Linked DNA regions of Lonchura striata. The protein of the gene in region 4 interacts with the protein of the main gene of each other region in a pairwise test. Links are inferred from orthologs where the notes say so. Each region holds a gene or a part of one and is shown on either strand. Other genes may lie near its edges. The genes, in order: UPP2, KHDRBS3, INHA and SIAH1.

The links.
Region 1: the proteins of SIAH1 (region 4) and UPP2 interact in binary tests that used the Homo sapiens proteins (3 or more experiments, as listed by UniProt). The two-hybrid records come from large-scale screens. The link is inferred for Lonchura striata from reciprocal best matches to the Homo sapiens genes SIAH1 and UPP2.
Region 2: the proteins of SIAH1 (region 4) and KHDRBS3 interact in a two-hybrid assay, tested with the Homo sapiens proteins (3 studies listed by BioGRID and IntAct). The link is inferred for Lonchura striata from reciprocal best matches to the Homo sapiens genes SIAH1 and KHDRBS3.
Region 3: the proteins of SIAH1 (region 4) and INHA interact in binary tests that used the Homo sapiens proteins (3 or more experiments, as listed by UniProt). The two-hybrid records come from large-scale screens. The link is inferred for Lonchura striata from reciprocal best matches to the Homo sapiens genes SIAH1 and INHA.

Annotation. Positions count from the first base shown.
Region 1 is NC_134610.1:678,930-686,734, forward strand, and holds the start of UPP2 (uridine phosphorylase 2), read right to left. Parts: upstream 3,091-7,805; 5' UTR 2,987-3,090; coding exon 2,961-2,986; intron 2,415-2,960; coding exon 2,252-2,414; intron 1,216-2,251; coding exon 1,057-1,215; intron 1-1,056. UniProt on the Homo sapiens protein: Catalyzes the reversible phosphorylytic cleavage of uridine to uracil and ribose-1-phosphate which can then be utilized as carbon and energy sources or in the rescue of pyrimidine bases for nucleotide synthesis.
Region 2 is NC_134603.1:7,546,197-7,553,643, forward strand, and holds the start of KHDRBS3 (KH domain-containing, RNA-binding, signal transduction-associated protein 3), read right to left. Parts: upstream 3,100-7,447; 5' UTR 2,692-3,099; coding exon 2,604-2,691; intron 1-2,603. UniProt on the Homo sapiens protein: RNA-binding protein that plays a role in the regulation of alternative splicing and influences mRNA splice site selection and exon inclusion. Binds preferentially to the 5'-[AU]UAAA-3' motif in vitro.
Region 3 is NC_134610.1:16,236,090-16,243,016, forward strand, and holds INHA (inhibin alpha chain), read left to right. Parts: upstream 1-4,214; 5' UTR 4,215-4,351; coding exon 4,352-4,718; intron 4,719-5,593; coding exon 5,594-6,327; downstream 6,328-6,927. Other genes in the region: OBSL1 (obscurin-like protein 1), read right to left, coding at 651-1,689. UniProt on the Homo sapiens protein: Inhibins and activins inhibit and activate, respectively, the secretion of follitropin by the pituitary gland.
Region 4 is NC_134615.1:10,448,272-10,455,315, forward strand, and holds the start of SIAH1 (E3 ubiquitin-protein ligase SIAH1), read right to left. Parts: upstream 3,015-7,044; 5' UTR 2,962-3,014; coding exon 2,871-2,961; intron 1-2,870. UniProt on the Homo sapiens protein: E3 ubiquitin-protein ligase that mediates ubiquitination and subsequent proteasomal degradation of target proteins.

The DNA.
Region 1 (7,805 bases), on a different chromosome or scaffold from region 4:
CCAATGCTCTGTTTGCCTTGTATCATGTTTTAAATATGAAACCTTTTTGCATGTTGTTATTCTGGAACATCAGCCTGGCTTATTTGCTGATGCCTAAAAAATTAATTCTCGTTGCAAATATTCAGAGCTGGAATCTGTGTTCCTGGCCCTGTATGTTTGAGCTCAGTTGTGTTTCTAAGCAACTTGCAGAAATGTGATATTGGTAGCAGCTCTGCATGATGCTTCCCAGGGCGGCCATGTGCTCTACCCCGTGTCTCCTTCTGCACTGGCCAAAGCTGGTGCACGGCCACAAGCTCAGTGATGGTTTGCCTCTGGCCATGTCACTGCTGCTGCCAGGCCGGGGAACAGCAAATCTTGTGGCAGTTCTTCCCCTTGGATCCTCTCAGACTGATTTCCTCAGGCTTGATTCCCTTGGTCAGGATTGGTTTGGTTTTTTCAGAGGGACGAAACACGAGCTCTGTTGTGTGAGTGATTCCATCTGCTGTGAATCACACTTCAGACTAGTCTTGTGCCTGAAGAAATGGAGTCAGGACCAAGATTTTGGGTGTGAATGCTCCCCAGCACAGCCTGTATTTGCTTTTTCCTGTGTTCAGTGCCAAAAATCCTGCTCTAAAAGAATAATTAATAATAAGGCCAGCCTTTTCTTTTAGAGCTTGTATCAAGGTAATACTCCCAGCAGCATTTCATAGTTCATGTGTGGTGAGAAGTGGTTTTGCCTCCCAAACCAAGCTGAGCAGAACATGTGCACGTCTGTTATTAATGCAGCCATTTCCAAACAGAGAGAGCAGGTGCTGGGGGATGCTATTCAAACAGGAGCAGCTTTGCCATGGCTAAGGTTGCACCGGTGGTAGTGGCTGAACAGTGAAAAGAGGGAAAAGCTCTGCTGGTGCGTGCTGGGGGAGGTGAGGGCACGTGAAGGAGAGGTCGTGCCAGCCCGTGCCTGTGCCGGAGCAGACGGTCCCTGCGCCGTCCGTCTGTGGGACCCTGCCAGGAGCAGCACCAGACGGCCCCGAGAGCGCGTCCCCCAGAAATGTCCCCAGCCGGCGCGGGACTCACGCTGATGGAGAGCACGGGCCCTGCCCGGTACATGGCGTAGCGGTCCGACCCCGCGCAGATGTCAGCCACGTCCTCCCCGGCACCCGCCAGCCCCAGCTCCCGCCGCATGAACTGGGCAAACGCCCTCATCCTGTTGGGGCTGCCGCCAACACAGACGAACTGCAATAAAATATCAGCGTGTTGGTACTTAGCTAGAACAAGAAACGCGAGTCAGCCTGGATGTGGCGGTGGTGGCTCTGCCAGGCACATCTTCCCAGAGAAAGGAGCAGGATGCCTCTTCCTCACCATCAGTCAAGGGACATTGGAACTCCTGAGGCTCACAAAACCAGGAGTTAACACAAAACCCACCCTGTCACTCTGGCAGGGTGGCGACTGCCCTGAGTTTGGGCAGCCATACAGCTGCACATAACTTGGGTATCAATCCATCTAAAATAATTCTGCAAATTTGAGCTGGTAGTATTGCCACTGATAGCAAAGTAAACCCAGATGTTGGAGGAGATCATTGGTTAATTTATTCTATGAACAATGCTGACTGCAATTAGTGAGTACTTCTGATGGCACAGAGGCCATAAAGTCAGGGAGTAAAAAGGACAAATTTTACATATTAAAGGAAAATATGCTTGCTGAAGGTAGGAGGAGAATAAGTGTGCACTGCCAGGGCAGTGCTGATCCTGCTGCCAGGGTGCAGGGCAGCAGGAGACCATGCTGTGCTGTGCAAGGCTGCTCCAGCCCTGGGCACTGAGGCTCTTCCCCTGCACAACTAGGGAAAGACTCTGGTTTGGAATGAAAGAGGATGCCATCATGACAAATCAGTTTTGACAGCAGGTCTCAGCCAAAAATTATATGATATTCTCCTTCCCTTATCTCCAGTAGATGATGACCAAGATGCTTTGGACAAATGCCTCCTCTGTCTATCCTCCAACATGGGGCCAATATTAAATCAGGTTTTACAGAGCTACAGGTTTTTAAAAGGATAATTTTCTGTTGTGATTTCTGCCCAAAACAAACAAGGACAGAGAACCTCCTTGCCCAGGCTGCTTTGGCTGTGGAGTCCCTTAGCTGAGCAGCCAGACCCCACCCCATGGGAGCTTTGGCAGCAGCAGGGCCCAGCATGGGCCGGTAGCACCGTGGGATGCACAGCTGGAGAGTCTGTGCAGGGGGGAGCTGCTGCCTCACTTTTGGACCTGCTCTTTACCTTTATGTCCCCAAACATTGCTGGCAGGTTGTGTGTCTTCGTTCCCAAGTCCAGGTGGTACAGGACGTCCTCCTCCATCAAGTCCAGGTGTGGGTTTCTAACAAGGACAAGCCCAGTCCTGCAGGGAGACGATGAGGATATGGGTTGGGGCACCAGGCAGTACCTGCAGGGAGGTGGACAGGCAGAAGTGGGGCACAGGGCAGCCTGGAAGCTCCACAAGGGTACACACAGCCTTGGCATTGGACAAGGGATGGAACAGGGACAACGGACAAGCCAGCTGTGTGTGGTGTTTGGACCAGCTGTCTTTCTGCTCCAGGTAACCTCTTTGACACATCTGTTATTATATCTATGTATTTGGCAAAAAATATGTCTCAGTATTTATCAATTTTGTCAATGGCTACCTTAGCTCTTTCCTTTATAAGGTTTTGCCAGCAATGTCCAGGGGTGATATACTGTGCTGTTTTCTATGTGACAATTTATTAGGCTCTTGGCAAGTCAGGATTTCACACTTGTCCCAAATAACTGCCTGGCATGGCGAGTGCAGACACTGCAGGCAGTCAGAGGCCAGCTTGCTGCCCCTTTCCACCTGCTCTAAGGGAAGCAAATAACTAACAATGCAGGTTAGTTTTATAAATGGGGCTTAAAGAAACCCAGAGAACATTTTTTCTTCTCTTATTAAAACAAATTCAGATGTTCCCCTGTTACTCACCTCGAGTAACCTGTTGTTTCGGTCATAGTGGCTCCGCCAGAGTCAGCTGAAAGCGATACCCTGCCAAAAAGGTAAGGAAAACTGCCTGTATTCTCAGCTGTCCAGGCTTAGAGCTCAGAAGAGGTTTCAAGGGGCTCTGCAGGGGGTTAAATACCTCTTGTGCTTTGTGCAGCTCCCAAGGTCAGCAGTGGGCAGTCCCACTACTGTGTGCCAAGATTCCTTAGTGGCTGGCATGGTTCCTCCCAGATTGCCTTTTTGGGCAGGTGCGTCACCAGTAACCTTGACTGGCAGCCTTAGGGCCAGGGCCAGTGGCCTGCTGGCCCTCTGGCTGGTGACATTGTGCCCTCTGGCTGGTGGGGAGGGCTCTGGGCACGTGGCTGCACATGTGGGGAGATGGTTTGTCTGAGCTGGATGTTGCTATGCTACCCCCAGGCTGTGTTTCCTCAGCGCTAGGGACTGAAGGACAGCCTGGCCATGGCTGCTGGCATGGACAGTTCTTCTGGCTGAGCCGTTCTCTGACCCCAGTAGGTGCAAATCCAAAACATCTCTGCATTTGTCTGGGGTGCACAAAACCGGAATTTGGGCTGTAGCCAACCTCCAGCCCTGCTCAGAACAGCTCCTGGACCACCAGCCTGGCCTGGGGAGGCTGATTTCACTCTCAGCAATGCCCAGACAGTGCTGTTGGCTCTCATGGTCCACCCAGCCCCATCTCAGCCCAGGAGCCCATCAGAACAGTGTGCAGTGTGTCAGGCACAGCTTTGCACAGCTCCCAGTCCAGGGCAGGCAGAGTGCTTGTGGGGCTGCAGGACAAGTGTGTGATGCTCCTGCAGGAGCAGGAGGAGATTGGAGATACTGGTCCTGCTTCCTGTCCCAACAACAGGAGGCACTGCCCTGGAAGATATTTCAGGCAGCTGCTGGAGGGGCAGAATCTGGCATTTGCTGTTGACCTCTGGGAATTGTCAATGGAAGCTCTGATAATTAGGGAAGTGATAGGTAATTAATTACTGGGTGAAAGCACATTGCGTGGAGCTCACTGGCACCCTGCATTCAAGCAGTGACGCAGTCCTGCTTTCCTAATGGGAAGGGACAGAAATTATCGTAACTGAGGAAGCCTTTCCCTGAGCAAATGCCCTTTTTGCTACCCATCCAAACACTCTAAATTGCAAAACCCTGTATAAAAATAAGCAAACACTGCAAGCCAGTGGCCTGAGAACATGTAAATTTGGTACCTTGCCCAATATAGGGTCAGGATAGCTCTGAGAAGGGGAAGGAGCAGAGCTCTCAGGGATATTTCTGGCTTTCTGGAGTCATACCAAAGGCAGGCTGGAAGGATTTCTCTGCTCTGATGAAGTTCTCCCTCCCTGGATGCTGTTCACATATGCCTGCCAAAAATGACTTATTACTGACGCTCTACAGCACTCCCAAAAAGTAAGGATCTGGAGACTTTTCTCCCTTTCAGAATGCACCAGATTTCTGTGAGGGGCACAGAAGAAGTTTCCTTGGGGCTGCACACACCTTCTGCCTGCCGAAGTCGCTTGGTGTGATTGCTGTGGTTTCAGGCGCACAGTGGATTGTGCAGTGGGCTCCATGCAGAGCTTCCAGTTGTGTCCAGTGAGAGTTACCTGATCTGGAGAAGAGAGCAAATGGTTTGCTGCTGCTTGCCAGAGGTGGCTGGAAATGCTCTGGGGAGGTGGGATCGGGCTGAGGCTTCCTGTGGATTCTCCTCCTTCTCCAGTCTTGTCTGGTGGAGGAACATGAGGCCCTGGCCCCGCACCCACCTCCAGCACAGCTGGGCAGGGCTTTCATCGGGGACCGAAGGTTCAGCAGAATGGTGGATGGATGAGTGGACAGACGGACAGACAGCTGGACACCTGAGTGTCTCTGTGGCAGGGCATGAGTGTTCCCACCTGCTGCCTGGGGTGGTAAAGGCAGTGCTTCCATGTGTCCCCTTTCTCTGCCTGCCTTCCATGGCAGAGTATTTCTGGACATACCTGGAAGGGTCCACACCTGCATGGTTCAAACCATCCCACAATAAAACAATTTTCCTAAGCACATGGATAACTTTTAAAATATTTTCTTATGAAAAATAGTGTTCCAGCACAACCTGCTGGGACATCCCTGCCTGGTGGTCAGCAAAGCCCCTGCCCTGCCCTGCTACAGCCTCTGCCCTGGTGTGCTCAGTCCCAGGCAGGGACCTCCCCTGTGCTGGCAAAAGTGGCAAGATTTTGGAGGGTGTCCCTGCTGAGTGAGCAGGGACAGAGTCCCCTGGAGCCACAGCTCTATCTGGAATGTCAGGCTGAGAATGGTGGGCAAGCAATGTTTCTGCAGTGTTTGTCCCTGCTGTGCCCAAGGTAAAAGGAACCAGTGTGTTCTGTTTAAGTAAACATGATTGCACCAAGGGAAATGGTTGGACTGTGCTTTTGGCTTCCCAGAAGTGACGTTGAAGAGAAGGGACAGCAGCCACCACCACGGCCATTCAGGTTTCAGGGCCTGTCTGGCTCAGGTCAGCTCCCTGCCTGGCCAGTATAAGCAGTCCCTCACCTTTGGTTCCTTTGTCCATGATTGTTTTTCCCATGCTTGGTCTTCTTTGGGATGGCTTTCAGTAAATCCCAAACTGAAGTGTGGCTGTTCTTTTCCTACCTCTCCTGCTTTTCATGGCAGAGGCTGCAGAATGGAATAGAATAGAATAGAATAGAATAGAATAGAATAGAATAGAATAGAATAGAATAGAATAGAATAATGGACTAGGATAGGATGAAATGCTAAAATAAAATGCTTTCAGTTGAAAGGGAGCTGCAGTGCTGATCTAGCCCAGCTACCTGCCTGTTTCTCTTCCTCAAAGGAGCGTGGGGATGGTGAGAAGCAAAGAGCACTGCCCCAAATGAGTGTTTATTTGTGCCTGATTCAGAGCTAAATCCAGCCTCTCCAAGTGCCAGGCAGTGGAGCTGTTACCATATGTGCTAGAGGATGACAAATAAAGCACGATGAAATATACGGCAGAATAACATATGGCAGTGTAGACAGGCTCTCGGCAAGGGAAGAGATGGGGAGAGCCAGCGCTCCCCGCGCCCATCCGACACCTCTTGTCATGTTAAATGCTATTTTAGAGCAGACAGCGCTGGCATCCTGTGCGCGGCAGGGAGCTCGCACCCGCCGCGCCCTGCCGGGGCTCTGCAGCCTTGCTCCCAGCGAGCCCCAACAGCTCCTTCTCCACTCGGCTGGTCTCTGCCTTCCCTCCCACCGTGCTGCTGCTGCTGCAGCTCTCCGGAGCTGCCGATGATGAGATATTCCAGCAACCTGGCGCCCAGCCCCGTCTGTGGCCGCCGGGTCGGGCTGGGCAGGCGGGGCAGGTGGTGCCCGTCGCAGGAGTGAGTTCCTCCGCCACCGCCCCGGCAGGGCATGTGAGCCTGTGCTCGGCCCCATCGCTCTGCTTCGATAGCAGAGAATGAGGAATATCACAGTCCGAGGCATGGCTGGTGCATTCCTCTAGCGATGATTGCTGGCAGTCGGCATAAGGGAGCAGCAGAAGCACCGGGAAGTGTTTTACCTGACAGGAGGAAAGCCATGTGCCAGCAGCACAACGATTTCCTGCTCTCCGTACCCGGCTTGTTCTGCGGAGCCAGGAAAGCAAAACGTGGATTTTTATCAGCTGTTTGCTCTGGCTCCGTGTTTTGCCTTGTTTATTATTGGTATAAAGCTGCTCTTGGCATTGGGACCAGACAGTAAAACACTCCCCAAAGGAACCAGGCTGCACAAACCCTCGGGGCACTAGAGTAACTGCAGCTTGTCAGGACACGTTTCCCCTGAGGGGAAGCACTACAGCAAAGCCATTTATTTCAGGCAGAAATCAGCTGCCTGACCTGTGTTGCTATTCAGGATTTATTCAGGAGCTGCTGATCTTCCAGTCCCGTGTCGCTCCACAGGAGGGGCTGAGAGTGCTGCTGCTCCGCTGCAGGAATGCTCCTTAGAGCGGACGGGCACTCTCCCGCCATTCCCTCTGCAGCCTTGCCCATGGCAGGTGGGATCCACCCTGGGAACAGGCAGGGATTTGCCCGCCGTGCCCCAGGACAGCTGGGGGGCTGTGCCCATGCTCTGGGCGCCCTGCCCTGCTGGGCTGCCCAGGAGGTGAGGACACTAGGGTGGCAGCTACGCACATCTGCCCGTCCAGGTTCAAGGAGCACCAGGCTGGCCCCACACAGGCCCCTGGTAAAGGGCTCTTCTTAGGTTTAAACCCAGTTTCTGGCTGAGGTTGGTGCTGGCTTGCTGCAAGAGCAGGGGTCCTGGCCTGGCTCTGACTGGCTCTACATGGATTGCTGCTGCCCACCTGGCCCCACATGGATACACTTCAGCAGGAAGTGTTGCTTCTGGCATCTTCTCCCAAGACTGTGCTCCTTTTGTGCCTCCAGTCAGGATGAGAAGGAAGAGGAGCAGTGGGGCAGTTTGGCAACAGAGCCCTCTCATCCGCTCTGGGGTAGGTTCCCCCTTGCCTTCCTCCATGCTGCTTTTTGTTCCCTTCCCACTGCAGGGGTGAGTGAGCTGCTCCAACTCTTCCCACCCCACAGGGATGGGTGAGCTATTGCCTGCTGGGAGTACCCACAGAGGTTTGTGTAAATGTCCAGTTTGCTGTGACAGAGCAGACTCCAAATCGGCAGTGGAACCTGCAAGGGAGCCCCTTTCTGCTTGCTCCCTTCCTGCCCAGTGCTTTTCTGATCTCCAGGCTTTGAATCCAGACGGTGCCTGGGGTTTTTTCTCCCTTCTTCTTTTATTTTTCTTACACAGGTTTTTTTTTCCTTTTGTCTTTTACTCTTTGGGCTTGTGGGTGCCTGTCGCAACTGCTGGTGCCTG
Region 2 (7,447 bases), on a different chromosome or scaffold from region 4:
TTCAGAAAGACAGATTAATAATACTGCCCATGAAAATATTCTTACAGCATCTTAGTTATTTCCACATTATTCTTTTTTAACTGAAATGTTAGCCAGGAACTTGAAGCAGGTCAAGCTCCACTTTTTATATTTAAAATTATGTAATTTGTGTGTATACAAATTAAAATGTGTAATTACAAGCATAATATGCAAATTCATCCACTTCCATTTGAAAACTATAATTACCACATTTTAGAAGTCTAGATCCAGGATTTTCCCTAGAAACCAAACTTTAACACGACTGGAAATTTGTTAGCAATTTGGCTCCTCTGTCTAAGCAGTAAACATATCTGAATTACTTCACCATCTCAAAAGTATTCTACTTCATCCATACAACTCTTACAAATTACTCCTGAGTTTCTGAAGAACGCCAGCTGATGTACAGTATTTCAGTTTAAATAAATACAGATAGCAAATTTAATGCCACTAAGACACCAAAATGCTATTACATAATTAAGCTGGTTATTTAAAGCACTTAAAACCTTTGCTAAGACATTCTCTGATACCCAAAAGAAACCAAGCTTGGAACCCTGCTTCATTCTAAACTTAAAAGATAAACAAATCCATCTATAAAAAAATTAGATAAGCTCTTTCATTTGCCTCCACATGAACTAACATAGAAAATATTCAATGGACCTGGCACACAAAAGCCGAGCCACAACCATTACATACACATTTCCACTAATAATTGCCATTCATTTAAGTGCATAGAATTATTATCATTGAGAAAAAAACAGTCCCTGATAAAGTCAATGCCATGGCAGGATGGGTTTGTAAAACATCCCCTCCTGATATCATATTTTCCACCTGTATTATACAGGCACTTCATTTGATCAGGCTCTTTGGCAATTCTACAATTAAACTATTTTACATAGATATTATACAAATTTCCATTTTAAACTGGAGTTAACCAGTTGATTAGTCACCCTCAATCTTTCTTTTCCTCACCTCTAACATGTGAAACACTTCAGATATAATCCAAGACTTCACTTTCAAATTAAACAAAAGAAAAATCAAGACACCTACTAGATTACAAGGTTGGATGCTCATACATCTACATTTTTACACTAACAATATAAGGTTTTTTTTTTTCCTGGAGCTGAATGTATGCATGCAGATACCATGATGAAAGGCAAAAGTTTCAGTCCTCCACTTTATCATTTCAATGAGAAACTAAAAAAATATCATAAACTCAGTCAAAAGGACAGATTTACTTTCTTTAACACTGTTTACAAAACAGTAAATCACATGGTTCTGTAACTCCCTGGAATAATTTACACATGCAAAAAGATTCTTCACTAGCTGGAGAGGAACTTTAATAATTTGTAGCCATCAAGCATAATTTTTACAAGTTTTTTTTAATTTACAGCAAATAACTGTTTTTTTTAACATAATTCTCCTTTTCCCACAATCAACAGGGAGTTTAGAAAAAAATGCAAAATACCAACCACCCATGGACATGGACCTTCAATTCACTTAGCACATGCATTCCACAGTTAAAACTGTAACAGCTACCCCTAACTCCAGAGTATTTCAGAGAACAGTAATTCTCCTTATGAATCTGAGACAGGCATTTGCACTTATAACACATCATAATCTACAACACGTTAGAGGAACCCACATCAACTTAAACTTGCTCCTGTTATAGGATGTAAAGTACACCAAGCACGGCTTTGTAATCATTGCAATTGAAGCCAAAAATCATTTCGGCTTCCAATGTGTTAGAGGATCACTTCATAGCTTATTTCACTTGTGCATCCTAAGCACTAGATCAAGCATTTGTCTCTCCAGAGCTGTACTTGAAAGTCACCTGCCAATTATATACTATCTCTAAATGTACATTAAATCATAGTTTAATTCACACAGAATGACTCTTCTAGTCAGTACTGCATCACTGAAACAAAAAGGAAGCACTTTAAAGCACATCTGACTTGACAGATGCAGAAGGGGTGGGAGTAATTTATTATCTGGAGTTATATAATTGCAAAACAAAATATGCCTTGTATTTTTATAAAGGTTTACTAACATGGATTGTTGGTTCCGTAATATCTTAGCCACAGAGCCCAAAGTTTCTAGGAAAGGCCATCGGTAGTGGGCTCGTTCTTAAGAAAGCTCACACATATGTAAACAATCGGCTGCTCATTGTTCACAAGCAGGGTAAAATAGGAAAACCGTCCGGGGTTTTAATTGACATGCAGCCCGAGCAGAGCACAGCGGACACGGCCATTCAGCTCGGAATAATCTCTAACTCGAGCAGCGAGCGACGGCAGAGGAAGCGCGGATGGAAGAGGGGCAGCGCGGGCAGGCACCCGGCGTGCGCGGCTGCCCGGCAGGGGAAGGGGAAGGCGCCGGGAGCCGGCAAACAGCGGCAGCCTGAACGCAACAAACCCCCCCAAGCGGTGCAAGGCACGGGTGAACCCCGCACCGAGAACGTCCCCGGGAGCCCGGGCACAACAAACCGCTCCGAGCGCCGCAATAAGGAAGGGCGAGCCCCGGCTGAGCACCGCCGCTCACCCCGGCCCGTCCCCGCCGCGAGAAAGGCGCCCCGCTCCGGCGCCCCTCACCTTGGTTGACCAGCCGCAAGGCGTGGGTGAAGGACGGGTCCAGCGAGTCCTTCTCCGCCATCAGCTCGGGCAGGTACTTCTCGTCCATGGCAGCGGCCCGGAGCGGCAGCGGAGCCGGGGCGCCGGGTGCGCCCGCGGGGAAGGAGCGGGTCCGAGTCCCAGGCAGCGGTAAATCCTCGGAGGCAGCGCTTCCCCCTGGCCGCCTCCCGCCCGGGGCTGCGGGGACGCATCCAGAAGGAAGCGCCGCAAGCCCCCGGCCAGGAGCGGGGAGAAAAGCGGCGCGGGCTGGGGGCGCCCCCCCTCAGCGGGCAAGGGGCGCGGACAAATCACTGCGGAAGCGCACAAGGAGATAAAACGGGAAGAGACGCGCCCCGGGAGCCGCTGACCCAGGCAAGACGGGGGCCGCGCGCGCAATAAAAGAGACTGTTAGGCGGCGGCTGGGGCTGCGCACACACCCACAAGACAAACAACACCGCCGGCGACGCCGAGCCCACTGAGAGCGGAAAGCGCGCCGCACCAGGTTTATATACCGCCCCAGACCACGCCCCCGGCCGCCTTAGCCCCGCCCAGGGGCGGTGCCCCGCCCCAGCGCCTGCCAATGGGCGGGGATAGCAGAGCCCCCCAAGTGTCACCGCCTCGCTCAAGTGAAGGCTCCTATTGGATGGCAGGGCCTGTCAGTCAGGGCCGAGGCGCTGCTGCTCATTGGTCGCTGCTGCTGGCCCCGCCTCCCCGCGGTCGGTGAGAGGCCGGCGCTGAGGGACGCGCTCAGAGCGGCTCCGCGCCGGGAGCCGGGCGGGAGCTGGGCGGAGTGGCTTTTGTACCCGTACCTGGAGCAGCGGGACTCAGAGCCCCTGAGATCCCACAGCGACCCTTCCGACGCAAGAGTCGCCTTCGGGGCCCTCTCCGGGGCCGTAGGATCTGTGAGAAGGGTCGGGGATCCAGGGCGGCGTCCTTTCCGTCCCCGTCAGATCTTACGGGGGAAGGCAGACCTTGTGTTGAAAGTAGCGCAAACGTGATTTTATTTTTCCCTTTCACAAACAGCGGTCTCCTCTATCCAGCATTCTATGCTTTTGCCTCTAGCAAAAACATAGACTGTCTCTATACAAACCACTTTATAAATACCAGTCAAAAAACCCTAATTCTGATGAGTTTCCCAGATCTGTGGCTGTAAATGGGTTTGAGATTCACCCTGTTCTAAAAGAGGAAAGAGAAGCAAAGTTTAAAAGACCTTGCTCAAGCCCATTTTCCTGTTTTTTTCAGAGGATGCATTTGTTATAGAAGGTCATGATTCGCTCTGTTCTTTAGCTTTGAGGCTTTACATCGCCTCCTTATTAGTCCTTAGGTGTCTCGTCAATGAATCTTGGTGACAAAAGCCCGGAGGAAGCCAGACCAGCTCTTCTCTGTCACAGAGCACAAGGGCAAAGCAGAGGAAAGAAGCCAAACCCATAAAGTAACATTTTAAATCAATGTTTACTGGATAAGCCAATAAGGAACTTTGATGATCTAAACTTAAAAGACCACTAAAAGTACTCATATCTGTGAATTGAATAACCATACATTTACTTCTGTATTTAATAAAAAAATAAAAGAAAAATCTGCAATATATCTTACTCATAGTCTTGCAATACAGGGAGGAAGAAAGCTCTGAAAAGATAAACCAGCATGAGAAATGCTCACTCAAAGCTCAGAAGCAGAGGTTAAGGCTCCCTTCTCAGAACTGCAAGTGCTCTTTCACCCTGAAAACCAAAAGACTATATTTTAAGGTATCTTATTCCTTGTTGGATTTCACAGATTTCAATACCCCATGAAACAATGTCTGGTATGTTGCAACATGAAACATAGTTGATTTATACTCTCTGTAAAACCATTTCAAATAAATCTTGATCCAAAATGAACAGAAGCATATTTGCAAAGTTCTATTTAAAAATTCTTTTGCATGACATCAAGCTCAATAAATAAAACTAAAGCATTCAAGCAGCTGGAAGAATTTGAATTAAAATGAATGTTTTTTTCAACCTTCCATATACGTCTTCTATATAAAAGTACTGAAATGCAACCATCTGTTGTGAAACAGGAAGGCATATACAACTCTTGACACAAAACAATATGTAGGAGTGTAATCTTTATTGAGTGACCTGGAGCAAAAAAATCTCTTTTTTTGCCACTTAAGCCTAAATGTACTTAAAGTCATACTAAAGCATGCAGGACCTCAGACAGAAAGGTAGTTATGTTATTACAATTTGTGTAAAACACAATGCACCTTTCTTGGAAGGAGTCGCCTTCTCCCTGGTAACTGATTAAATAAACATTTGATGTTTCAAGAAACCACAGTATTTCTTTCCATATTATACCAATTCCCTCTGGCTTTCTACAAAGAAAGACTTACTGGAAGTTTGAAGACTTGGTTTTCTCCAGGTCTGTAATAATATAGGAATTATAAAATTATCCATGTTGTAGCCTATTGTTCAAACTCAAACCTGTACATAACAAATGCAGGACATTGGTTTTTTTCAGTGAAATTTTCTAGGGCGCAATAAAATAAGACAAGGGCAGAAAGGATGGGAAATTACGAGCCTTGGGCCCTAGAAAGCAGCCCAGGATGTGGTTAGCTGGGAAAAGCCTGCTAAGCATCACTTTTACTATCCAGGAAATGCAGGAAACACCATCATCTTAAGGATTGATTGCTTTCTTATTGCTGAAATCTATGCAGAGCTTGAAAAGCAGCCTTGCTCAAGGAGCTGCCTGCTAAGTATTAGCTGTAGGATTCATGAATATTGAAAAGCCAGGAGTCCAAACTTTTAAAACTCATGACTTAAATGTATTTTCTCTCTAACAGTACACATCTACTTTGCTGTTTAATGCATGTGGTAATCTCAGAAAGTTAGTTTGATAGGTGCACATCAGTCAGTAACCATGTCAGACTAATCCATTGCTCCTTTTTAAGCACCAGTTACCTGACAGTGTGTCTCTCTATCTATAAGTTAAAATTGTAAGTGCCAAAATTAATACTCATATATGCTAGAAGCATTAGGATGTGTTGGTAACTTCACTCTCAGGAATGAGATTCACCTCTTGTACTAACAGGATGTGAGGGGACCATGTGTAAAGAGGCAGAAACTGAGCTGTGTTCTCTCTCTAAAATATGTATTGTGTACAAATTAATCCACTTAAATTTTCTTTATTTGTTGGATCAATATAACAAGCAGTGATTACAAGCAGTAATTTCACTATTATGTCTTTGTTCCAAATATTGCAAGTACAACTAAATATTTGTCTTCCATGGAATCATTGAATGCTTTGGTTTGGAAAGCAAGTACAACTAAATATTTGTCTTTTCCATGGAGTCCTTGAATGCTTTGGGTTGGAAAGGTCATCTAGTCCAACTCTGCTCCTGCAATGCGTAGGGACATCTTCAACTAGATCAGGTTGCTCGGAGCCCCATCAAAACTGACCTTGAATGTTTTCAGGGATGGGGCATCTGTGACCTCTCTGGGCAGCCTGGTCTAGTGTTTCACCACACTCATTGTAAAGAATTTCTTTATATATGGTCTGAGTCTACCTTCTACTTAAAAAAATCATTGTCCCTTGTCCTACCACAGCAGCTCCTGCTAAAATGTTTGTTCCAATCTTTCCTATAAGCCCCCTTTAAGTACCAAAATGCTATAAGGTTTCCCCAGAGCCATCTCCTCTGCAGGCTGAACTGTCCCAACTCAGCCCATCTTTACAGGGAAGGTGTTCCAGACCTCTGACCATCTTTGTGGCCTCCTCTGGACCTGCTGCCATAGATGCCTATCCTTGCTGTCCTGCGGACCCCAGAGCTGGATGCAGCACTGCAGGTGGGGTCTCATGAGAGCAGAGCAAGGAGCAGAATCACCTCTCTCACTGTGCTGCTTGGCTTGTGGAATATGAGCACACCACGGTCAGTGGCAGCTTGGTGTGATCATTGAATAGATGGAACACTTGTCACAGGAGAAAAAACAGAGGGGGCAGTAATTTAGGCAAAAACACCTAATCAAGTGGAGCCTGTTGCAGCACCCTCACTCAGATACTGAAGGCACTGCACCCACAGGCTGTCACCCTGCTGGGATTATTTCCAATTCTGTGGTAGAATTTACATGCCTCTAATATAGTCCTTGATTCTGATTAACTCCTGGGTTCCTCATTTAAATCTCAGACCACAACAGACTGTTACAGAATCATTATTTATTTGAGACTTCAACTCATTGAAGACCTATAGAAGCAGGATCTGTTTGGAGAAATGATTTGTCACAAATACCACATTTAGTGATAGATGTGACTCACCACAATTCTAACTAGCATGTTGCTAAGTGGGTTCTGGCTTCCTTAATATTGCAGTGTGTTACTTGCCAATTTCTATTAGGCGTGATGAAAGTATCACACTTCTCCAATATTCCTGTGGGTTTTTTTCTTTTTTTTTTTTTTTTTTTTTTAACTTGCATGTGTTTTAAAATATGATAAAATAAATAAGAGTGTACTGTCATATCAAAACATCCATGGCAAATTGTTTTCAAAAGATTTTCTGTAAAAATTCACCTCTTTCTCTTTTATACCTTTTGCCTCATAGTTCAAACTTTAGGCTTTATTGGACCTAATCAATGTAATCAGCCAAGTTAAGGTAGAACACAGTACACAGACTGTATATGACCTATAGTGCAAAACCATTACATCATCTACAGCAGATAAATTCTATCATTCTACTTTACTTTCTTTCTAGTTCTTAAAGGCTAACACACTGTATCAGAACACTCTCTCTGATTCCTAGTGCAGTAATTGAGTCAATACATTGCAGTGACTTCACTACCTTTGTCATTATATTCAAGTAT
Region 3 (6,927 bases), on a different chromosome or scaffold from region 4:
CCTCTCCTTTGGCTTCCATGAGACAGACACTGCCTTGACAAGCACATATCCCAGAGCAGGGAGGACCAGGGCACAGCCTGGGGAGACACAGGGATGCCTCCAGTATCTCAGCAGGAGTTTTGGGGGATGCAGGGGCATGGAAGCCAGCATACTGCAGCAGGCATCTCAGTGGAGGGGAGCAGTGGGGTGTAGGCAGGGGCTGCACCAGTTCCTGGGTAACCCCAGCCATGGGCTGTCCCCAGCTGGCTGGATGGCTCGGGGGGGAATTGGGCAGCTGCCAGTGCAGACTGTTGGAGCCGTGCCCTGCAGGGCTGGCTGCCAGAATCACTCAGCACTTCCAGGGAAATTTGTCACCAAGGCACTGTCCCTCTTCCCTGTTTGTGGCTGGACACCTGCAGTCATCCGAGAAGCCACACCTCTGTTTGCAAGGAAAGCGAGACACGGAGCAGGACACAGCTCCTGAAGAAGCCCAGCATCCCCTGTTTCCAGCTCACAGCTCTGTCCTGAGGAGCCTGGGGTGACCCTGGCTGCACAGGGCAGGAAGGAGCCCCATGATGCTGGGCTCTCACACAGACACACCCCTGCCAGACAAACTTCCCTGAGCCCCCCAGAGCCTGGCCACCTCTGACACTTCTTGGACGTGTTCCTACCTTTCACCTGCAGCTGCACTGCACTGAGAGTCTGGCCAGCAGTGTTGGAAGCAGTGCACATGTATAGCCCCTGGTCCTGAGGTTTGCAGTACAGCACCTTGAGGATGAAGTAGCCCTCCCGGTCCTCGTAGATGAGATGCCTGCGGCCAGGGGCGAGAGGTTCACCATCTTTCTGCCAGATAATCTCTGGCTTGGGCTTGCCAGTAACATAACAGCGAAACTTGGCATGCTTCCCTGCGCTCACAGCAAATGCCTTGGCCCCTGGCACCCTGGCCGGCACGACGCCATTGGGCACCCAGGTCTCCGGTGCCATGCGCCGTCCCGCTGCGTGCCGCCGCCACCGCTGCCGCTCCGCCAGTACCTCGGGGCCGTGGGCAGGGGAGCCATTGGGGAGCCCATCCAACAGTGCCTGGGGTTCAACCAGGAGCACGGCGGCAGCCAGGGCCTCCTGGGAGCCGCTGCGTGCCCGGCAGACATACACACCCCCATCCTGGGGCCGGGCACCGAACAGCTTCAGGAAGTGCCAGTCCTCTGGTTTCTGCCCCACTGCAAAGTGGCTGCTCTCAAAGAGTTCGGAGAGCTTGTGCCCATCCTTCTCCCACTCCAGCACAGGGCAGGGCTGCCCAGACACCCTGCAGGTGAACATCACATCCTCCCCCCGGCACACCCGCATGGACGAGGGGGCAATGAGGAAGGCAGGTGCGACACTGCCTGAGCATCCCTCCCCCTCTCGCGGCTCTGCTGGCTCTACCCTGAGCACGGTGGCAGCGTAAGTCTCGCCAACACTATTCTTGGCCCTACAGACGTAGAGTCCGCTGTCCTCGGGGGTGGCACAGGACACCAGCAGGCTGTACAGGTCCCCTTTGGACTCCATATGGAAACGGCCCGAGGGCTCGATGGTATTCTTGTCCTTTTCCCAGAGGATGCTTGGCTGGGGATCACCCATGATCTGGCAGCTCAGGACTGCATTGGTGCCACTTTGGACCGTGAAGGCACGTGGATAGGCCAGGAACCTGGGGGCTCCCCCGAACCCCTCCATCACCAACTCCCCAGGCTCACGGCAGACAGCTGGCTGGAGCAGCAGCAGGGATCATCAGCCTGGGGGGATGTACAGACAGACTACAGTGGAGGCTCAGGCTCCATCGAAGAGATGGACCAGTGTGGAGCCCCCAGCTAGGAGGGACCCACAAAATCCCCATCATGGACCTCCTGAGCATCATTGTCATCCAGAGCAGCGCAGTCCCACTGGATTTGTCCCAGTGTCACCCAAACCATCCATTTCCCAGCCCAAGGCAATAGGAGACGTGACAAATTGTGGCTCTTTGCACCCCGGGGGCCTGAGACACTTGCACCCTTTCCCAGGGTTGCAGAGGGGACTCCAGTTCCAGCGGTGGGGGACCCCGGCCTAGACAGGGAGCATAGGCAGCTGCTTGCTGGGTGCTGGGGCTGGGGGACAGCGAAGGCAAAAGGGCCCCCGCCCGCCCCTTCCCCACCCGCCGGGCATTCACATTCCTGCAGTATCGGGTGGTGGCAGAGCCGCATTCCTGCAGCATCTGGGCCGGCTCAGCGGGCAGGTGCTGACACGGGGCTGTCACGGGCGCGAGGCCCCGGCTGGACCCGGGCTGGGACTTCCTCCCGGACTTGGGTGGGCAGGGGACCCCCTGTGCCGGGCGGCCACCCCACAGGGCAAAGTGCCCTGGGGCGAAGTGGGGCTCTGGGGAAGGGGTCCCCGTTCTAGAGAGTAGTCCCACAGGCGGGATCCAGCCCTTGTGCACTCAAAACCATAGCTGGAAATCATCAACCCCAGGGGAAAGCTGAAAGCCAGGGAGGTGGGTCCTGCTATGGAAGGGCACTGTCTCCATCCCCAGCTTTGTGGGTAACCGTGCCCACCACCAGGGCAGGAGCAGGGCAGGGTGCTGTGTGCCTCTCCCCGCTGAGTGCACCCACCCTCTGCCCACACCATGGCTGGGACTGGGGCAGGGTCGTCTCTGACTTGCTCAGGCAGGGGGAGGGGAAACAAAAATACTTCTTGAATGAGCCAGAGGGTAGGAGAGAGCTGGTCCCCAAGGAGCGACAGGGATTGTGGCCAGTTTCTCCTCCCACAGCCCTACCCCTGGGACAGTGAATCTATTCAGATTCATCTCTCCATCCACACGCCCCTGACCCCTGGGCCACCCCACAGCAGCTCCTTTGGACACAAACGGACAGCTCTGATGGCTCGGCTGCACCATTGCACCCTTCAACCACTCCCTTCCCCAACCACCCTCCCTGCCCCAGGCAGTCCCCCAGCCCAGACCCCTGCCCCACACATGTACCTCGTTCTGCCACCTCTCCCCTGTGTCTCTCAGTGTCGGCACCCAGCTCCTGCTTCTTCCCCCAGCTCCCCTTCTGGGTGTCAGTGCGCAGGGACCAAATGTTACAAATGCCTGCAGCTGCTGTCCCCAAAAATACCCTCTGATGACACGCGGGGTTGATAAGAGTGAGCCTGCTCCGTTCAGCGCCTCACCGAGGCTGGGCTGGCCTACCTATGTATAGCAGCCCAGCAGGAGCCACCCCAGAGAGCTGCAGGGGTGCTGCAGGCCCGGCTGTGCCTCTGCGCCGGCTCAGCCAGCAGCGAGAGACAACGTGCCCTGTGGAGAGCGTGGCATGGGGTGCAGGGTGCATGGTGTGCTGTACACTGAGCTGGACACCAGACTGCAGTGAGATAGGACGTGTCACACGGGACATGCTGCATGGGGGGATGTGTTGCATTGGATGCTGCATGAAATGCCAGGCTATATTGGATGGGATGGGCAGGACACTGAGCTGCCAGAGGCACAGAGGGGATGCACAGGCTGCCCACCATCCACAGCACATGCAGCGTTAGTGGATAGGCACTGTCCCCTCAGGCAGTGGTGAGAGGAAGGGGACTGGGTCTCCTTACAGCCAATGTCTCTCCTGCAACTCCCACCCTGTGAGCCAAGCCATGGCTAGACAGCCCAAACAGCACCCTAGGATCCTTCTCCTGGACCTGCTGCAGGGTCTCCAGCTGGCCCACCCCTCTCATTTGTTCTTCTCCCCTTGAAGGTCTCATCTGTTTTTCTCCCCTCTCCAGCCTTCTGCAGCCTCAGGTAGAGCAAGGACCTTTTGCCGTCCCTCTTGCTTCATGTCCCCAGGATCTTGCTAATCATGTCATGGAGATGTCATGGACTGTCATGGAGATGCCACAACCACCCTGTCCCTCAGCTTGCCCTTTCCAAGGCCCCATCCTCACATTTTTGGCTGCCCTGGCGACTGCCACCTGCAAAGCGCCTCCCCCATGCCAGAGCCTCACAGGCCTCTGATCCCCACCAGGTCCTTGCCCAGATTTCCCTGCCGTGCACAACTGCTGTCACTTCCCACTAGCTCCCCAGAAGCCCTAGACCTTCCACTCCTCCGCCATGGGAGGCACCTCGCATCAGCAGCTGCAAAGCTCACCCAGCACCCCCTCCATCCCTGCCAGCTTCGGCTGCCGGCACCACCCTGCCCGCAGCCCGGCCTCCCCAGCCCCACGCACGCACCGCTCCCGGCAGCAGCCCCCACACACACCCCCTGGCCGGGGGCCGGCCCCCCAGACCACACTGTCCTTGCAGTCCTTGCATTCCAGACGTCTCAGCGCTTTCACAGCTCAGAGATAATATTCACGGCGAGCAGACGTTTGCGTCAGTGTCAGCTAGATCTCAATGCCACCCTGTCCCGGGGGGAGCGCTGCGGGCAGACGGGCTGGGCAGGCAGGCAGAAGCCCGCGGCAGAGCCCCCCAGGCCAGCACCCCACCGTGTGCCCCACGGCCATGCTGCTGCTGCTGCACCTGCTGCCTGCCATGCTGCCCACCGCCGCCCTGGCCAGCTGCACCGGGACGGGTGCCGACCGGCAGCTCATCCTGGCCAAGGTGCGGGCTCGGGTGCTGGAACATCTGAGTCCCCCCCTTCTCCAGGAGGAGCCACAGATGGAAGCAAGGAGGGTACACCGGAGAGACGTTCTTGAAAACACTGAAGTGGAGCCGGAGGAGCTGGAGGACACCTCCCAGGTGATCTTATTCCCTGCCACAGGTGAGAACATCCTGATGAAAGGGTGAAGCAGGGTGGGGGTTGGAGTAATGCAGACGCTGAAGGATGGCGAGGCTGATGTGGTGGGAGAAGGGGAAGAAGGTATGCCAGGCTGGGACATGGGCATGAGTGAGATTTGGTGGAGAGCCAGATGGAAAGGTATGGCAGGCATGGACAAGCAGAACAGTTCAGGACAGACAGCAGAGGGACAGGCAGCACAAGAGGGTGCTGAGAGGCTAGGAAACAGCTGGCCAGGCAGGATGTGGAGACATGGAGAGGGATGAGGAGCAGGGTGGAATAGGGTGGGATGCTAGGGAATGGGGCAGGATACTGGAAGGTGGGTTGGGATGCTAAGGGACAGGGCAGGATGCTGAAGCATGCGGCAGGATGACCAGCAATAACAGCAGGAGATGGGGCAGAATGCTGGGGGATGGGATAGGATGCACATGCTGGGGAAAAGGGGGCAGGATGACCAACTATGGGACAGGACTGGGAGATGGGCCAGGATGCAGGGAGATGGTCAGGGTGCAGAGGTGGGGGAAAAGGACAGGATTACCAGCTATGAGGTGAATGCTGGGGGACAGGGCATGATGTGGTCTCTGGGGGAAAGGGGCAAGACAACCAGCTATGGGGGAGGATACTGGGGGACAGGGGTGACAGTAATGGACCAGCCTAGAGCATAGCAGAGATCAGTTGTGGGGCACAGCACAGAAGCTGCTGCACAGCACCGGCTCCTCTGCACCCAGCCACAGCCTATGCCAGCAGCCAGGAGCCCTGCCAGCATTCCAGGGACCTCTGCAACATCCCACTTGTGATTTGGCATTGGGGATTCTCCCCAGGTCTGGGTGCAGACCCTGATCATCTTTTCCCCCCCACAGACGTTCCCTGTGAGCCCACACAGCCAGACAAGCTGCTGGAGGAAGAAGGGATTTTCACCTACCTCTTCCAGCCCTCGGCACACACCCTGAGCCGTGTGGTGACTTCTGCCCAGCTCTGGTTTTACACGGGCCCCTCGGCTGCCCCCAACCACTCCTTCCCTGAGGTGCTGACCCTGTCCCCTCAGGGCCGGGTGCCGGTGACAGCCATGGCGGAGCGGACACCCGAGCACTGGACAGTGTTTCACTTGGCCCCAGTGCTGCTGCCCCAGCTCTGGCAGCCGCTCTTTGTGCTCCTGGTGCGCTGCCCTGGCTGCCCCTGCCTGCCTGAGGGGGACAAGATGCCCTTCCTGGTGGCCACCACCCGGGCCAAGGGCAGCGAGAGGGCTCGTCGCTCTGCCATGCCCTGGTCCCCGGCCGCCCTGAGCCTGCTGCAGCGTCCATCTGAGGAGCTGGCTGCCCACACCAACTGTCGCCGGGCTTCCCTCAACATCTCCTTCGAGGAGCTGGGCTGGGACAAGTGGATCGTGCATCCCAGCAGCTTTGTTTTCCACTACTGCCACGGGAGCTGCGCTGCAGGCCACGGGCTGAGCCACCGGCTGGGCGTGCAGCTCTGCTGCGCTGCCCTGCCCGGCACCATGCGCTCCCTGCGCGTCCGCACCACCTCCGACGGCGGGTACTCCTTCAAGTATGAGACGGTGCCCAACATCCTGGCCCAGGACTGCACCTGTGTCTAGGGCGTCCTGCAGCCCAGCCCGGACCATGATCCCACGCAGGAGGAGTTGCTTTCCCAGTGGAACCCTGGCCGCTGGGATGGGGGAGTTTGGCTGTACCACCCTCCCTCGCACAAGCCAGACTTTTGGGCTGGCCCTGGTACCATCACAGAGCAAATCAGGGCATGGCGGGGCATGGATAGGCACAACCTACGGCAAAGGCATCACTGTCCTGTCAAAGCCAGGCTGCTGCCTGCAACCAGATTAGCCCTCATCTCTCTTCACCTGCTTCCCTGCTGCAGTTCTGCACCCCCACAAAGATTGGTGTCTTCCTCCTGCTGCAGAGTTCAACAGCTTCCCCTGTGCTCCAGGCAGGGCCAGGCTGTTGCAGCAGGATCAGGATGTGCCTGGGTGAGCCCATGCCAGGACCTCACACTGGTGGCAGGGCTGGCAGCACACGTGGCACCACAAGTGAGCCCTCTCCCAGCAGCATGGCTTGTTGGAAAGCTAAATGGGATGAGTGAAATAAACTTGTTCCCTTTTCTAAAGCAGCCTGGAAATGTCTGCTTCTATCTAGATGGAGAAATGAGGGGATGGGCAAATACTGTTAGAGGCATCCAGCTC
Region 4 (7,044 bases):
AAATCCCCCCAATGTAATACAAACTGCGTATGTGCTATGTGTAGATCGATACAGACACTCCCGTGACATGGAAACTTAACAAGTGAAGGACTTCTGCTCATTGTTCGGAAGAGGCATTTAGCTACTGGAAGCTGCAAGACAGGGGAGTAAAAACATGCTAAAAATTTAATACTGCATTTATGAAATGCTTCACACCCAGATCACTTGTGTGTACCAACTCTGTGTATGGAACAATTCTAAGCTGCCGTGTAAGAGAAACAAGGCTTTAATGAAAAAAACTATCTTCTGGATGTGACCTTCTCAGTACTCATACTTACAGTGTAATTTTTTAAGAAGTTGAAAAACACAGCTCAGACAATTACTACTCTGCTTTTTTGCAGGATAGGACAGTGACTCTTCATTTTCACTACTCTACTATTGAGGCCCATGGCTTGTAAAGCACAGCCACTGCTTCAGCTTCCTTAACAAAACCATTTGTGACGATACCAGAAAAAAAAACCCACAGCAATTACTTTATTTAATTTCCCAACTAAGACTAAAAATTCGAACTTCACTTGTTAAATTTGAGTATTCATTTTACCATGTAAATACTCAGACATTTTCAGTCCCTCTTGATGAAGTTCTATATTCAGTGGAGCTCCCACTGAAGTTCTGTCCTCTCTAATGTCCCCCGACAAAGGTGACAGCTGTCTGACCTAACAGCTTACTCGAACATTCCACAGATGTGGAACAAGTACTGACCACATTTTGTAACACATTGTGTTTTCCTGCACTCCTAACTCTCCTCCTTCTTGTACAAAAGACATTACTAGCGCTATCTGAAAAAATAAACCATACCTTTGTAGGTAAAGGGCAGTTAAATAAAATGCTATCCAAAATTGGCTTCTGTTATAGAGTACAATTCTCAGCCACACTAAGTGCCTCTCTGCGAGTACAACCAGCTCTGGATCTGTCACGTACGTATAAAGCTCTCAAAATAAACCTCATCTTTAATCTCCTTGCTATTTGACATGGGAATATTAGGCAATAGGCAAGCTTCCCATATTTAGCATCATTTCACCACAAACTTACTCATACTTGGACCAGACAGCTCAGAGCAACATACTGTGCATGCTTTTGCAAGACATGCACTGTTCAAAAACACCAAGCAGAAGAACTAAGAGATTCCTACTTGCAAAATGACTTAAGTCCTTGACATTTAGAAAGTAACGAGAGACAGACAAGTCCAAATTACTCTACAGAAGTACCTCTCCCCAGAGCTAGAAAAGTATGAGTGTCTAAGATATGATTCTCAGACACTGATTTTATGAGTCTCATGTGTCCCATTGACAGCATCTTCCTAACCCACCAAATTCTCTTCCTCCATCTCAGTCTTGGTGGTTTAGAAGTACCTTGAGAAAAACACCCATGCAGCAGTTTTCAGTGCTGGGCCATAACTGATCCTGTAGAGCTATGACAAGAATGCTTGTGTCTTTTGGCTGTATCTTCCCACTGTGAGGCATTCCAACTTAGATGAGAAGTTCAGGGTGTCTGTGACAAATCAAGCATGTGTCCTGGAGAAGTGATGCTGCACCAGGGAGGGGACTCTGCCAGCTGTACTGCTCTATGTCCCAGCAGCTGCAGGTCTGTGCTCCAGAACAAACCACTGGGCACAAGAGAACCAATGCTGATCACACCTGTTCGCTTGGGAGGAGCTTAGAAACAACATATTCACATGTAAAATTCTGGAAGTGTTTCCCTTCAAATACTGCAAACACACACATTTCAGAAAAGTCTGTGCTGTGCTTCCTCTTGCCTGACCCTGTAGATCCTGATCCAGGGATCCTCCATAACCTGCAGATAAGGCAGGTGAAAACCACTGTGTCAGACCAGTTCCCTGGGCAGCCTGACAAGCTGGGTGAGCTCTGCCGTCTTTAATTACACCTCGCTGAGCCCATGCAACAGTTAAATGAAGCAACCTACAAACTTTGCAAAAGAGCTTGTGCACGGATGCACTTCCCACTTGAGCTTTCTAAGGTATGGAAGAGAACAGAACTATGTTACCACTGCTCCTGTGTGAGCAGCCTTCACACACCTTCCACAACACTCACAGGAGCAGGGAATGGAAAGGAACAGGGAATGGAAGGAGCAGCAACTGGGAACAAGGAGCAATCTCTGAACCAGCCCACTGAGATCAGCATGCAGGAAAGACACTGCATAAGGCTACAAACTGTAATTCACCAAGCCTAAACCTGCCCAAAGCCTACATTTTCATCACTCTTGTTAACACAAAGATGAATAATACATCTTTTATGGCTATCTCAAAAGTTACAAGTTAATCACAAGCAAAAGTTTTAACAGTGTAATACATTTAACCCACCAAACCATGAAAATCATACAATTACAAACCAAGGAAAAACAGCTACAGAACTGGAGATAAAGTTTAAAGACATTTTTAGTTACAAACCCCTTACTACAGGTAAAAACACTTATATGCAATATTTGCTATTTCATTATCTTTATTTGCACACATTAGGAACAAGTTTCTAAGCAACAGTGACAAACTAAGGAACAGTAAGGTGTCATTTTCAAGAGTATTAGCTCCTTTAACTCCAATTACCAAAAACACTGTGCATATTAAAAAAAAAAAGAAAAATTACCCAACAGTAAGAGTGAAAAGGGGAGAACACATCTTAAGATTTCCTAGCTCTAAATCAAGCAAAGCAGCTCTTGGTAACATCTAGAAGGCACCTGTTGCTAAAAGGACTCTCGACACTGTTCTGGGAAAGGCGACATGCACAGGTTACCGACACCTCCCGCGGAACACAATTTAACAGCTCCTGCAAGCCCGGCTTCAAATACTGCGCATAAGGCAATTTAAAGGGCGCTACCTTTCCCCTTGCAGGTTTTACTCCCCGGCAAGCACGCAGACCAGACGCCCTTCCAGGAGTACGGCCCGCTGGAGGCAGATCTGCCCGTCATGGGGCGCGGAGGAGCTCATGGCGTGTCCGCGCAGCACGGGCGGGCTGGGGCCGCGGGCCGGGCGGCGACCGCGCCGAACGCCCCCGCGACGGCCGCGGGGCCCCGCGCCGCGCCCGGATCCGCCGCCCCGGCCGGTGCCGCCGCCCCCGTGCGCGGCCGCGCTCCGGCCCCGCGCCCCAAAATGGTTCCCCGAGCTTCCCCCGGCGCGGCCGGCGCGGGACGGCCCCGCCCCGCCCCGCCCCGCCCGCCACCGCCTCCGGGGGAGGACGCGCCTCGGCCCCGCCCGCGGCCCCGGGAGCCGGCCCCGGGAGCCGCCCGCCCCACGCGGCCCCGCCCCGCACGGCCCCGGGAGCCGGACCGCCCCACACGGCCCCGCCCCACACGGCCCCGGGAGCCGGCCCCGCCCCACACGGCCCCGCCCCACACGGCCCCGGGAGCCGGCCCCGCCCCACACGGCCCCGCCCCACACGGCCCCGGGAGCCGGCCCCGCCCCACACGGCCCCGCCCCACACGGCCCCGGGAGCCGGCCCGCCCCACACGGCCCCGCCCCACACGGCCCCGGGAGCGGCCCCGCCCGCCCCACGGCTCCCCAGGGCCGCCCGCCCGCGGCCCGGCCGTGCCTCACACGTGCGCACGGAGAAAGCCCTCTGCTTCCCCCGAAATAACTCCCCGGCAAAAGCTACAGCTTCCGTTCAAAACTCTTCTAACACATGAAAATCACTTCCTCCTATTTCAAGGATATTCCTCAGATGAGCACTTTTCACTGTGGATCTATAAATTCCTATTCAACAGGAATTTTCTCCATCTGTATAAGTATTGCTCAATGAAGCAAAAGCATAATCTCAAGGAGAAGAGATAACCAACAGAACTAAAACAATGTGGCATATTTGATTATCTACTTGGAGTATTAAAAAAAATTAGAACAGGTAAAAGGATAAAGTTAGAAGCCAAGTCAACACACTTGCGTGAAGCACATGCTTTGCTCAGAAAAGCTTAGACATTATGGAACGCTGATGTAATGATGGTAAGATCATGGAAGTATAAGTTGCAGTGGAGGCAACAGAACAAAACACACTGAGATAAACTGTTGTCACATAAAAAGCAAGGCTATGAAATCTGAGTAAAGATAATTATCTTTAAAGTGCTTTCCTCCTATTTCAAATCCAAGTCCTTTTCAAGAAGACTTGTATCAGCACTGTAATACCTGCAAATAATGCCCAACTGCTATAAAAACAATCTACCCACTCAATACAAGGCTTCCTTCAGTCTCGCCCGAAAACCTGCAATCTACAGCATCCCACCAGGTAAGAGTCAAGGAAGTTTACAAGCAGAACAGAGAAGCTGAATAAAAACTGCATAAAAACAGCTTTTGAGAAGCTAATAGCGCGTTGTGAGGTGCGCGAAACGTGTCCCAGGCTGCCCCCCGTGTGGTCCCCAGAGCCACCCTCCGGCCCCTGGCCACGGTACAGCTGCTGCTGCCCGTGTGCTTTGCTGGCTGCGCAGTGCCCCGGGGACAAAGCCTTTGGGACCCGGACACAGAACCGAAATCCTGTACGAAAAGCAAGGCACAACCAAACCACTGGTTAAAAAGCTCTGCTGGGGCGCAGGCACACAGAAAGTAGTTTGAAGACATTGAAAAAGATTGTGTGCCTCACGTGCCTGGGCATTATTAATGGCAAATAGACTGATACTCTTCCAGCTTCTCACCTTACCAAGGTGTTAGCTCCAGACCCATTCTAAAAATCACATTTGTGCTTCACTGGAATACAAGGTACCTCTGACAAATTCAACTTAGCATCATCCACTTCTCTCATATCAAAAAGCACATCTTCTTTCATATCCTCACCCATATCAAATAGATTAGACTTGAATTTAGCATTTTAGCTAGCTTTTGAAAGGGTAACTGAATATTAGTTTGAGGAAAAAAAATACACAAAAGCTCTCTATAGTCATCTTAATGGTTGGAAGGGAAAAAGTCCCATATAAGAGTAATAAACACAAAAAATTTATCACAATTGTCTGTATGTGATGCAACAACATATATTTTTCTATAACATTTAAAAACCGAGTTCAGGAACTTCCATTTAAAATGCACTCTTAATTCATTATAGCCACCAACAAAGTAATAGAAAATCTTTCATCTTTTTAAACAGTGTAATCATATTTGAATAAGACTTTTTCACACACAGTACTATTAAGAGAGAACAGGATGAAGTTGTGAAAAACACTGACAAGTTACTTTTTTCAAGATGTGACACAAACCAAAGAATGTTAAGACCCAAAATCTAAATGAAAGGCTGAAAATGCTCATTAAACATAATACCTATCAGAGAAAAGCTTGCCAATATTTTTTAAGAAACTAGTATTTTTATTTAATTTCAAAGATATGTTAGGGTGCAAGGTTTTGCCTTTTGCAGTCTATCAGCTCTTGGGAGATGTTAGATCCCAAGGGCCTGGCACGGTTAGGATCAAATGCAGGCCTGGACAGACATGTGCACCTCTGCTCAGACACAGCCTCTGGATCTGCTGGCCTACTTCACAATTTTTAGAACACAGTTCATGACATAAATTATTAATCAACTATATAATACAATTTAATCTCTATCCACTCTGGTTTTGACTAATGAATTAGGATTTTTTTCAATCCTTCCAGACACTCTTTTCTTTGGTGCCCTTAACTATGCTATTTGTTATTTCAAGACACCTCAGGGTTCTCTTTTCCTCCATAACAAGCAAAAGCTAGATCAATCCAATGTAACAGAATATTATAAAACAAGACCAAAATAAATATACAAAACTGAGTCAAGACTCTTGATGATTTCCTTTGCCAAAATGTCATCAGTCCAATTCATCTCTTTTTCATACACAATTAGACCATTTCCTGCTACCTTGTAGTGACCCACTCTGCCTGAAACTGCAGGCAGCTTTTTTCTTGCACCTCAAGACATTCCCTACCAACCCCATTTTCCAACCACCACGAAGGGAAATCCCAACAGATTTATATAACCATGGAATTGTCTTTGTGGCCAGCACTGCAGGGAGCCTCCAGCCCCTGACACCCCACATTTCTGATGTTCTCTCGTGTTCTCTCACGGCCCCCAATGGAGCCATGGCAGTCCCTGTCCAGACCTTCTCCAAGTTCACCACACCCCACATGGCAGATGCAGACACAAACACAGCCATGGAAACACCAACAGCATTGTTCCACCCACCAAATCAGAGTGACCTATTTCTAACTCAGCACAAAACCCAGACTTTGGTCAGGGCTGTTTGATTTCTCCCTCCTCGCCATCACTCACTATTTCTTCTGTGGAGATATGCTGGAATATTCAGCATCAGCCCAGGAGAGGTTTTTCCCTAGCTGCTAAAGATTTTCTTTCCAACAACTTTATAAGGTTAAGATTAGGAAGGAACAGTATCCTGTAGAAGACATACAATAAGCACATCAAAATCAAATCACACTAGTAACCAACTACTATTGACTGAAGTGTTCAATTTTAAATGCAACAAAGAAATTTATCAGTTCCAACAAGTGAATAACCTGTTCTCCAGTCCAACAGAGTTTCAACATCCACCTTTGCACAGAATACTGCATCCCATGCTGCTATGGTACTCCAGCCTTGGGAAGGAAGACAAGCTGAGGAACAAAGCTCTGCAAAAAAACTGATAAATCCCCCAGTTTCATTCAGAAGGAAAACTAAAAGTGTCTGATCAAGAGCCAAAACATGAGTTTGGACCACTCACTCTGTACTCTATAGGTGGAGAATATGCCAGCTTTCCCAACTTACATATAGAATTAAATTTAAAAGTAGATTTCCTTGTAAATTCAGACCCTCCTACAAATCATAAAGCAAAACAGGATGTTTATCTCTTCTGTTTTTTGAGCTTGGAAGGAAAGGAAGGAGGACAGAAAGCAAAAGCTACAGGAAATATCAAAGAAATTCCAGAAAATTTAAGCAATATTAAAAACAACTAATCAAATGCCACCGTGAACAAAGAAAATGTAGTAATATATTAAATAAATTGATATAAGCAACAAAATAAAAATTATTTATATTTGGTAATCTAATGTAATAAAAGAGT